Linked DNA regions of Macaca mulatta. The protein of the gene in region 1 purifies or fractionates together with the protein of each later gene. This does not show direct contact. Links are inferred from orthologs where the notes say so. Each region holds a gene or a part of one and is shown in the gene's direction. Other genes may lie near its edges.

Region 1 (3,650 bases):
TCAGAGATCGCCAGTGAAGGGGTGTCGCGGTCAGGTGACTGTCAGCCTTAACAGACGTGTGGGTGAAGAGCTGGACCCCTCAGAATCCTGCCCGTGTCCTCTGCCACAGCTGTGGGAACTGAGGACAAAGGTGACGCACGTGAGGACCCACTGTAGGGAAAGCCAGGCGAGGCACCGTGAAGGGAATGGTGAAAGAGGAACACAGGAAGATCTAAAATTTTCTAACTCCTTAATTTTGGGATATGCACTCAGTTTCTTTGTCCACACGCAGGGACCCTTCCGTCCTTACGTGTTGTGAGGATTGAGTGTAACAAAGCTTTTGAAGTTCTGAAGCATAAATCAGCGTTCGCTGTCCGCACGCAGGGACCCCTTCCGTCCTTACGTGTTGTGAGGATTGAATGTAACAAAGCTTTTGAAGTTCTAAAGCATAAATCAGCATTCGCTGTCTGCACGCAGGGACCCCTTCCTTCCTCATGTGTTGTGAGGATTAAACGTAACAAAGCTTTTGAAGTTCTGAAGCGTAAATCAACGTTTGCTCTCTTCTCTTGCTGCTTCTCCCACTCCTCACCCCGAGAGCCATTGTTTACTCCCAGGCTGAGTGCTGGCAGCACCTAGGTGGGGCCTGCTTGCTGGACGAACTCACCTCTGGGAATGACGGCCATTGGCGTGCTCTAGCTCTTTACCGGAGCAGCTGAGTCCTTGTTCTTACCACCTTGAGACTGAGATTACTGGACTCCATTCTGGCTCTGAGCGTGCACGTTTCCATTGGACATGTCTGCATGGCACTGATGTGCCAGAGGGCCTCGGCGTCAGTAGGATCTCATGGAGACCCACACATCCTGTGCTGTGTGTAGTTACTCTTGCTCATATGAGAGCAGGAATGGGACCCCTCAGGGGTGGGAATCCCCTTTGGCATTTCCAGATAAGCAGCGCAGATTTGGGATCAAAGCTGGAGCCTTCCAGATGTTAAAAGCAACACTCATGTTTCATAAATTCTGGCTGTTGCTCGTGGAGATCAGAGAGCCACCATTGCCTCTCATTGCTAACCACAAGTGTCTCCCTTGCCACTTGCTGCCCAGTGAGGAGTTGGGGGAGTTCATGGAGACCAAAGGTGCCAGCAGCCCTGGAATTCTCGTGCTGACCACGGGCCTGAGCAAACCCTTCATGCGCCTGGATAAATACCCTACGCTGCTCAAAGAGCTCGAGAGACACATGGAGGTACCGCACTTTCACTCTCTTACTCGGAGTCCTTACCAAGGGTTAGTGGCATGGTCAGACTTTAACTGTGAAAGAAAGTATTATTCATGATTTATTTTAGAAGCCAGAACCAACAGAGTTTACAAAGAATTTTTACTTAGTGGATTGTCAAAATGATTTTGTTAAATATTATGTTTTTCTCCTTACTCCAGCTCTATTAAAAAACATTTACCACTTATCTCTCTTTTACCCACTGCTGCTGGTTGAAAAGTTTCCAAAAGCTGAAACATGAGAACTGATTTTCAGATAATGTTGAGATGTCTTATCTGGATCATCAGCTACAAACAATGTGTGCATAAGTTATAGGGTAATACTGTACTAATCATTTAATGAATGATTATGCTCTTTTAATTTTGAATAACAGGTTGCATCCTAGCAGAAATTTGGGTTAAAGTTACTCTCTTGGCTTGAGTTGGCAAACCTTTTCTGTAAGGGGGCAGACTGTAGGGTCTTCTTCACAGCTCCACGGCTCTGCCGTTCTAGATACTGCATGTGAGCCGCGGCAGTGTTCCAATAAGACTTTATTGATGAAGCAAGTGTTGGCTTCCCCACCCCTGCTGCTCGTGACTGTTCTCTTTCAACGTATGTTTCCCCCAAGTCTGATGGCTTCATGATTTTCTGAAAGACTGACACTTTAATGCTGAGGGAAAAAGGGAATATTAAGGGTTGAAAAGTATTAGAAAAGTTTCAAGCTGGTCTGTAGAAAGTACCTTTTTAAGAAAAGCTTTTCCTTACGAAAGCTAATTGTATGTTTCTTTTACTCAAAGGATTATCATACAGATAGACAAGATATTCAAAAATCTATGGCTGCCTTCAAAAACCTTTCAGTAAGTGATTAAGCATATTGTTTTTTCCCCCCAGGCATCATTGTGACAAATGAATGTAAAAGAATTATCAACTGAAAAAGTCAAATGATTAAAAAATGACTTGTGCTGACATGAAAGAAAAACAGAGTCGGCATTCTATGGCTGGTAAACTCCTTTTAGCGGACTCTGATAGAATAATTACTTAAAATTTTTAAAATCGCAGTGTAATTGATGTTAGATCTACTTTAAAATTATTTCAAACATTTTTTTACCCTTCATTCGTGTTGTCTTTAATGATTTATTGCAAAACAGAACAATGGTGGTTCCATTTTCTCTGCTGTTGTGTTGTCTTACCAACTGCATTTTCGAAATATATGCCTTATTTTATAGCACAAGTTATGCTTTGTTTCTTCTCTTCAGTCTTCTATATTGGCAAACACTAACAAAACCAGAATGAAAATACAGTTTTGTTCTGTCCACCTTTCTTTTTTGTACAAGTGGCAAAATCTGCTATATTTTTCTAAGATAATACTTAGTATTCCAGAGCAGTTGTGTGCGTTGCTTCTTTTGACTTGATTTCATACTTTCAAGCAAATACTTTCAATTCCGTATAATTAAGTAAATCATTCAACAGATTATCTGTCTGAAGAAGTAAGATATAAAGCAATAATTGTCTTAAGGACGATGCAAAGCAATGTGGCCAGAACTTAAGATTTTGGAAGTTTCTGTCTGTTAACAGTGTTGTTCTGTGTCTCTCAGGCCCAATGTCAAGAAGTCCGGAAAAGAAAAGAACTTGAGCTGCAGATCCTGACGGAATCCATCCGGAACTGGGAGGGCGATGACATTAAAACTCTGGGCAACGTCACTTACATGTCCCAGGTCCTGATCCAGTGTGCTGGAAGCGAGGTACTGCTGCCCACATGTATGCATCAGGGTTTCTGTCCCACTCTTAGGAGCTCGTAACAGAAGATGTTAAAGGCATCTCAGGCAATGAAAAACGTCTAATAGAAGCTCTATCTTATAATTTGTGAGCTACTTTTTATTCTTGACACAGGAGAGAGGCTTATGGTCTGTTAGAGAGGCTTAGAGCTGAGTGTGGACTTGTTGACCAGTTTGTTCCAGCTGAAGTCAGTCTGGCCTGAAACCCACGTGAACTGAAGGATAGCATGCGGAAAGACTTGCCAGGAGTCCCATGCACACATCTGCACGGAGCTGTATGCGCTTATCTGGCCAGCAACTTTGTACCAAGGCTTGCTGTCACAGGGACCTGCCGCTCTCAGTGCTTTCAGGTCATTATACTTTCCTGTGAAAGTATGCTAGCTGACATATGCTTACAGGAGTCACAGTTTTCTTACGGGTTTGGTTTAAGTGAGAGATCAACTCAGATTTTTGGGACATACCCACCCACACAGTGAAAATCGAGCAGTTTGTTTCATGATTCACATTGACATACATTCAGTGGGTCACTAAACAGGCACCTCTTTTTGAATTTTATTCTACCTCTGCAAAAATAACATGATCAAAACATGCTAAATGACTCATTTTTGAACATGAGACTCTAAGGAGAAAAAGAAAACTAAAATTTGA
Region 2 (3,650 bases), on another chromosome or scaffold:
GAAACAATCTCAGCTCACTGAAGCCTCTGCCTCCTGGGTTCAAACAGTTCTTCTGCCTCAGCCTCCCAAAGTGTTGGGATTACAGGTGTGAGCCACTGCACCAGGCCTGAATTTCTTCCTAACAGCTAAATTCAATTGCAGCACTGGTTTTGTGAAAGAGAATTGAAGATTATCTTATTATTTTTGAGCATGAATGAACAAGCAATGCCTATCCATATGGATGACCATCACAAATCCAGTATTGAGTAACAAAAGCAAGTTGCAGGATAATATGTGAAATGAAACTATATGACTTTAAAAATTAGGCAGGCCGGGCGCGGTGGCTCACGCCTGTAATCCCAGCACTTTGGGAGGCCGAGGCGGGTGGATCACCAGGTCAGGAGATCGAGACCATCCTGGTGAACACGGTGAAACCCCATCTCTACTGAAAATACAAAAAACATTAGCCGGGCGTGGTGGCGGGCGCCTGTAGTCCCAGCTTCTAGGGAGGCTGAGGCAGGAGAATGGCGTGAAACTGGGAGGAGGCGGAGCTTGCAGTGAGTGGAGATTGTGCCACTGCATTCCAGCCTGGGCGACAGAGGGAGACTCCGTCTCAAAAAAAAAAAATTAGGCAAAGTATATTTTATAGGGATAAACATCTGTGTCCTTTGTAGTTAAAAGTATGGAGAAATGCATGAAAATGATGAACATCAAATACAGGATAAACACCAAATACAGATCACCTTTGGGAGGAAGGAGACTGCTGTTGGAAAGGGCTCATGGGAATCTTCAAATTATTTATAGTTCTTTGTATCTTAATCAGGGAAGTGTATCCATAAGTATATGTTACATATATTTTTTCTTGATCTTTTTTCCCTACATTTTTGTAGGTCTGAAATATTTCAAACATAAGTTTTGGCCATGAGGATTGTCTCTTTTTCTTCCCCCACCCCCTTTCCTCGTGTTTTTGCTTTTACTCCTTTTAAGCATGTTAGGTCGTCACTGTTCTTTAATTCTTTTTCAGTTGCTTGAAGTGTAAAGTCTTTGGATATTGTAAATGCTGGTGATTTGTCAACCTTAAATCTGGCTGTTTTCTCCCTCTAGGGCTTCTGGTACAGTTTTCACTGCTACTGACGTTGCATTGGGACAGGAGGTAGCTACTTTGTCATAATCCTGGATGTTACCATTATTTTGTCATATAGGTGGAAACTAGATAAAGCTGGGAAGAATCACTAGGACTCTCTTTTAAGTTGAACATGTTGTAAGGATTGCTCTACGTGTTTTTATAGCACTTCTGTCATTAAGGGGAACAAAGAAGGAATTTTGAGTTTAATGTCATAAATAAGCAAGTATTTAAAAATTGTTTTCTCAGCTCAAGTGAAAAGAGGATTAATTCTTAGTGTTGGACTGACTGTGGGTGTATTAACTTCAAGATAAATCTAAAACTGTTTAGGCTCTATACATTACAAAGCATTGTGCAGAGGCAATGTGCAAGTAAAAGTACCACCTATGAGTAATAGCATTGTATAATATAATATACATGCCGTAAAGTAAGTTATTAACTGCTTGGTGTTTGTAATTTTTTAAGAGAATTCGTAAACCTGATTTTTTTCAATCCTGTTTTCATTATAGGTTGCTATCAAACAGATTAATTTACAGAAACAGCCAAAGAAGGAATTGATCATTAATGAGATTCTGGTGATGAAAGAATTAAAAAATCCCAACATAGTTAACTTCTTGGACAGGTAAATATGATTATTTCTTAAACATTGGGATAAAAATGTAGAAATTTTAAGTCTCATGGTTTGGGGGCTGGCTAGCCACTTTAGAATAAACTGTCAATGCTGAGAAATAAGAGGAGAGGTAAAAATAGCACACTGCAGTTTTAGAAGGTCCTTCTCTACAAGGATATCACTTGGCAAGTGAGAGAAGGCAGTTAAATGAAGGCCATAGCTGGTGGTGTTTATATTCATTGCAAATGACCTGAAGTGAAAACATGAATGGTTGGCTGTGATTCATGTCGTGACTGACAGGGGACTGGTCATATGGTTTTTAAACTTGTAGATCAATTTTTATTTCAAATGCTATCCTTTATGGACAAATTGTATGTCTATCAAAACCTCATTTAGTTTAGGAATTAATGTTAAATAACAGACCAAAAAGCAGAATAGAAAATGATGCATATTGGCCAGGTGCAGTGGCTCACACCTGTAATCCCAGCTACTCAGGAGGCTGAGGCAGGAGAATCGCTTGAACCAGGGAGGTGGAGGTTGCAGTGAGCTGAGGTCGCACCACTGCACTCCAGCCTGGGCAACGCAGTGAGACTCCTTCTCAAAAAAAAAAAGAAAATGATGTATATTACTACAACTGCGCTTGAAAAAGCAGTCACATATACGAATGAGAGAAGATTAGTTGAAAATGACAACAGTGGTTTTATTGAAGATAGAGGTGATTATAGGTGATTTTCTTCCATATTTAAATTTGTTTAGAATAAGGAAATGATAATACATTTCGAGACTTTAGCCCTAGTTATGGAGAACATGTTCATAGAAATAAACTTTTCAGGCCAGGCACAGTGGCTCATGCCTGTACTCCCAGCACTTTGGGAGGCCAGGGCAGGTGGATCATGAGGTCAGGAGATCGAGACCATCCTGGCCAACATGGTGAAACCCCGTCTCTACTAAAAATACAAAAATTAGCTGGCCATGGTGCCACGCACCTGTAGTCCCAGTTACTCCGGAGGCTGAGGCAGGAGAATTGCTTGAACCCAAGAGGCGGAGGTTGCAGTGAGCCGAGATCGCGCCACTGCACTCCAGCCTGGCAACAGAGCAAGACTCCATCTCAAAAAAAAATAAAAAATAAACTTTTCAGGTACAGTTCCCTGCTTTTTGAAATAACATTTCAAGTCAGCATAGTAGGGTGGTTAAGATAAGCCATGGGCTTTGGAATCGTTGATGCTTGGCTTCAGATTCTGGTTCTGTCACTTACTATTAATAGCTATGTGACCTTGGATGAGTCACGAACCTCTCCAAGCCTTTGTCTCTTTATCTCTAAAACGGGACTAGTAATTTCTATATTGTAGGATTATTTTAATCAGAATGAATCTGTGTGCATACTCACACTACAGTTGTGGGCAAACTGTAACTTAAAAATGATTCAGGGTCATAACCTCAGTTATTTTTCTGTGCTGTTACATAGCAGCTTTCCAATTTTCTTCCTAACTCTCAAGCTACCAGCCCTCTAGTTTCATTGTTAGGGTGTTTAATATTTGAATTCTTCAACATAGGATACCATGTGTTTAGAAAAAATGTAAGTGTGAGTGTATTTGGTATGTGTATTTTTAGTTACCTGGTAGGAGATGAATTGTTTGTGGTCATGGAATACCTTGCTGGTGGATCGCTCACTGATGTGGTAACAGAAACCTGCATGGATGAAGCACAGATTGCTGCTGTATGCAGAGAGGTAGGTGTGCCTCCTCCTTGATACGTTATGGTGATATGTGGTTAGCAAGAAGTGAACAAAAGGAACTTTTTCTGCACAGTTAATTGTTATTGTGGGAAGTGCTTTCTCTGTACACATTCTCTACAAGTTACTCCATCCCCATACCATTTCATCCTACACAGGCATTTCAGCCCTTTCCTTCAGGTATAAGATAATTTGGGAATGAATTG
Region 3 (4,237 bases), on another chromosome or scaffold:
TCTCACTCTGTCGTCCAGGCTGGAGTGCGGTGACGTGATCTCTGCTCACTGCAACCTCCACCTCCCAGGCTCAAGCGATTCTCACGCCTCAGCCTCCTGAGTATCTGAGATTACAGGCATGCGCCACCACGCCCGGCCAATCTTTTTTTTTTTTTTTTTTTTTTGAGACAGAATGGAGTGCAATGGCATCATCTCAGCTCACTGCAACCTCCACCCCCTGGGTTCAAGCTCCTGCCTCCGCCTCCCAAGTAGCTGGGATTACAGGCACCTGCCACTGTGCCTGGCTAATTTTTGTATTTTTAGTAGAGACGGGGTTTCACCATCTCGGCCAGGCTGGTCTTGAACTTCTGACCTCGTGATCCACCCGCCTCGGCCTCAGAAAGTGCTGGGATTACAGGCGTTTGAGTCACCGTGCCCGGCCAATTTTTGTATTTTTAGTAGAGATGGGGTTTCACTATGTTGCCTAGGCTGGTCTCCAACTCCTGCCTCAAGTGATCCGCCTGCCTCAGCCTTCCAAAGTGTTGAGATTACAAGAGTGAGCCACCGCGCCTAGCCTGGAATCATATAATACACTCTTATTTTACTTTATCTACCTCAGTAAAATGCAAGCTTCATAAGGACTAGGAATTCAGTCTTTGCTCACTGCTGTTTCTCCAGTGGCTGGGACATTGTATAAAACATGGTAAGTACTCGATAAATATTTGTTGTTTTTTTTTTTTTTTTGAGGCGGAGTCTCGCTCTGTCGCCCAGGCTGGAGTGCAGTGGCCGGATCTCAGCTCACTGCAAGCTCCGCCTCCCGGATTTACGCCATTCTCCTGCCTCAGCCTCCTGAGTAGCTGGGACTACAGGCGCCCGCCACCTCGCCCGGCTAGTTTTTTGTATTTTTTAGTAGAGACGGGGTTTCACTGTGTTAGCCAGGATGGTCTCGATCTCCTGACCTCGTGATCCGCCCGTCTCGGCCTCCCAAAGTGCTGGGATTACAGGCTTGAGCCACCGCGCCCGGCCGATAAATATTTGTTGAATAAAGGAATGAATCAATGAACTTGACCATTGATTGCCTCAGGAAGGTTGTGGCTGCAGGGTTCTCATCACAAGATATTGCTGCTTCCCCTGGTATTAATCAGTTGGGACGAGGGGAATCTCTGCCAGAGAGGGAGATCCAAATTCAATATTTAAAGGTAGGACAGATGATGCTCCAGCAGTCTCCTGCCCTCACTCAAGATGGCGACAAGGCAGCGTGCCCTTTCCGGTCACATGACCTGACACTCGCAGAAGGGCGCCTCCCCGCGCTTGCGTGCTATGCCAAGGCTGCAAGGCACTGAGGGGAGAGGCGCCGCCGTCAGCGCCGCTGCCGCTGGGACCCGTTAGAGCGGAAGCGCCGCCGCCGCCGCCTTTGCTGTCCCCGGGCCTCTACTTCCCGGCAGGTGGGAGGCGGGAGCCATGTCGAAACGGCTCCGGAGCAGCGAGGTGTGCGCTGACTGCAGCGGGCCGGGTGAGTCGCACCGGCCGGGCCCGCTCCCCTCTGCTTTCCTGGCCCGGACCCCTACCCCGGGGCCGCCCACTCAGGTCAGGCGGCATCCTGCGGTCAAGCGTCCGCAACCCGCTACTAGGGTCTCAACGAAGAGGTCCCGGGGCGGCCTTGGGGCAGGACGTGTCCCAGGCCTGTCAGAGCCTGGCGGGCAGGGGGCCGCCGCCCTCCCAGTACCTCGCGGCCCTCCCTTTCCTCTCGTTCCCTCTAGTTCCCTCCCGTTCCCTCCGTCCCAGGCCAGCTGGGGAGGTGACGGGGGCCAGGGCTGCTCCCCCAACAGGAAGGGGCTTGGGCAATACACAGGAAAGCCAATTACAGAAGTAAAATGCGAGCGTCCTCCCGGCTGCAGCCTCCAGAGGCTGCAGGTGTCACCTCCCACTAGACCCTCTCTCCGCCTGGGTGCCCTGCCCGGGGAGGATGACACTCCCTGAGTCTCGCCAGAGGGTCCCCGTAGATGACTTCTCCGCTCCTGACATCCGACAGCTACTCTGTCGGGGAGAATTGCCAGTAGATCGGGGTCTTCCAGACACAACCAGCACTTAGGAGGCAGTGCGTGTCTCAAGTTTGAGGATCTGAATGGCCTGGGTTCAAACTAGATTTTGCTTCTGGGTGACCTTGGGCTGGTGACTTCACTTGGTCACTTGGCTTGATTTCCTCATTTTTTTCGATGAGGATAATCGGGAGTATCACGCTCAGTGGTGAGGAGGATTCAATGAATACTCGTAGGATCATATCATCTAAGGCTTTTCTTTTTTGCGTTATGCTGTCTACAATAGAACACTTGCAGTCCCTTAAAGCTAGAATTGACTATCTAAATCATACGTTGATTACAACTGAAACAAACGCAAAATCACCAGCAATATAGGGGCATTGAAACGCTAAACCATTCCTTCATAATGATGCATAACTGTTCATACATAATATTCACATTTAGAGATCAAGCGGATCTCAGCAATTGCAACTGAATTGTCAGGTCTCTGGATAGATTATTACATGCTGTTTTAGGTGCTTGGATGTATTGGCTTTGAGTTAATTCGAAGGTAACATGGCTTTCTTGGCACAATAGTGTCCGATAAACAATCTTAATCAAATCATTGAACACCACTGGCTTTGCAACTGTTCTGATCTTCAGCTTGTCATTTGGAAGTGAAGACTGATTGTAAATAGAACTGTGATAACTCAAACCTCATGTGGTGGTTTTAATGGCTGGTACAGTGCAGGTGTTACCAGTTTCCTTTGAAGATAGGGAGGGGGTGTGGAGGAGTTTAAAAAGAAGCGTTTTCTAAACCAAGTTAGTGTGAGTTATACAAACTCAAACTCCATCGTTTTCTCTAAAAATGTTATTTGTTCCACTTCCTTATTTTCTTGCCTGTTTTCAGTCGAACTTTCTGTGATGTGTTTGATTCACATGTGTCCAGCTTCTAACTTCCTCTTGGAATGCATATTGTTTTGCTTCTTGATGGGGTACGGGGCAAAGCAAAATTGTTCCTCCATTGCCATCCTAAATATACTTTTGCAGCATTTTGTGCATTTCAGAACATTTTCTCTTCCATTGTATCGCTTTAGTTGTTGTCTCATACGCCTGATCTGCAGAGACTTGAGTCACTTCCTTCCTGTTTTGAATATAAGTAGGCTACCTTGAAATATTCTGTGAAATTGAGCAGCCTGGAATTTGTGCTGCCTTTTCTGCAAAACCCTACTGAGAGAATTACCTGTAGGGTTAGGGACCCCTTTGAGATTCTGATGAATGCTAAGGCCTTCTCCCCTAAAATGCACGTGAACGAATTTACCTAAGATTTGTCTAGGGGAGTCACGGACATTTTTGAAGTTCATTTGTGGTGTCCCTGGAGCCCAGGCATAAAGCCTCCAGATGAACTTAAAGGGTTTTACCCAATCTCATTCATACAAACTTATTTTTATTTTACCACGTTATCATTCTAATATTCTTTCCATGGGATTCTGATCCAGGATGCTAAAGTGGTTAGTCGAATACTTGTCTTAATTAATATGTGTTAAATACTTGCTAAAAAAAGAATAGTGCAAATCCTCTGAATGATAAGTGAAAACCAAAGGTATGCTTCAAAACAGTCTTTTTTTTTTGGCCATTAGTGACAGTACTATACCGCAGGAAGCAGTGTTGTTATGCATCTTTGTAGAGCTCCTTCATCTGGACATTTCCAATCTCTGCTTTTTAGGATGATATAGTAATAGTGACAGTTATAATAAATTGAATTATTTTGATTCTATTTTATGCAAACATTTAACCATGATCACTTCTTAAATATTCTATTTTTTTGTGTGTTTGTTTGTTTTTTTAATGAATCTGGTTCGTTTCAAATACATCACACTCTGAGTTCAATTACTTGACAACTCCATGGAGATTTTCAATACAGTAGTATAGTGGTCACATGAAATGTTCAATGTTTTAAATATTTCCCATCAAAAACTTTTTCCAGTGATCGTGAATTTCACATCTAGAAAATATCTGTATTACTGAGAAAATAATTTAGAAAAGATATAACAGCTAACGTTACTACTTTACTATGTGTGAGGTACCTCACTGATTCTCTGTATCCTCACTATCCTGAGATATGTTATTATTCTCATTTGAGCCATGGTGAAAACACTCAAAGAAGTAGCTTGTCTGAGATCACTGTGCAAGAAGTGGCAGACTTGGGGTTCAAACCCTGAATTGCTTGTCTCTAGAGC

The links.
Region 2: the proteins of ARHGEF7 (region 1) and PAK2 purify together in Homo sapiens (co-immunoprecipitation; 5 studies listed by BioGRID and IntAct, with this or other methods). This does not show direct contact. The link is inferred for Macaca mulatta from reciprocal best matches to the Homo sapiens genes ARHGEF7 and PAK2.
Region 3: the proteins of ARHGEF7 (region 1) and GIT2 purify together in Homo sapiens (affinity purification with mass spectrometry; 6 studies listed by BioGRID and IntAct, counting the BioPlex papers as one, with this or other methods). This does not show direct contact. The link is inferred for Macaca mulatta from reciprocal best matches to the Homo sapiens genes ARHGEF7 and GIT2.

Annotation. Positions count from the first base shown.
Region 1 is NC_133422.1:105,627,420-105,631,069, forward strand, and holds part of ARHGEF7 (rho guanine nucleotide exchange factor 7), read left to right. Parts: intron 1-1,079; coding exon 1,080-1,218; intron 1,219-2,024; coding exon 2,025-2,084; intron 2,085-2,822; coding exon 2,823-2,969; intron 2,970-3,650. UniProt on the Homo sapiens protein: Acts as a RAC1 guanine nucleotide exchange factor (GEF) and can induce membrane ruffling. Functions in cell migration, attachment and cell spreading. Promotes targeting of RAC1 to focal adhesions. May function as a positive regulator of apoptosis.
Region 2 is NC_133407.1:2,356,586-2,360,235, forward strand, and holds part of PAK2 (serine/threonine-protein kinase PAK 2), read left to right. Parts: intron 1-1,083; coding exon 1,084-1,132; intron 1,133-1,611; coding exon 1,612-1,724; intron 1,725-3,323; coding exon 3,324-3,441; intron 3,442-3,650. UniProt on the Homo sapiens protein: Serine/threonine protein kinase that plays a role in a variety of different signaling pathways including cytoskeleton regulation, cell motility, cell cycle progression, apoptosis or proliferation.
Region 3 is NC_133416.1:117,161,157-117,165,393, reverse strand, and holds the start of GIT2 (ARF GTPase-activating protein GIT2), read left to right. Parts: upstream 1-1,299; 5' UTR 1,300-1,440; coding exon 1,441-1,492; intron 1,493-4,237. UniProt on the Homo sapiens protein: GTPase-activating protein for ADP ribosylation factor family members, including ARF1.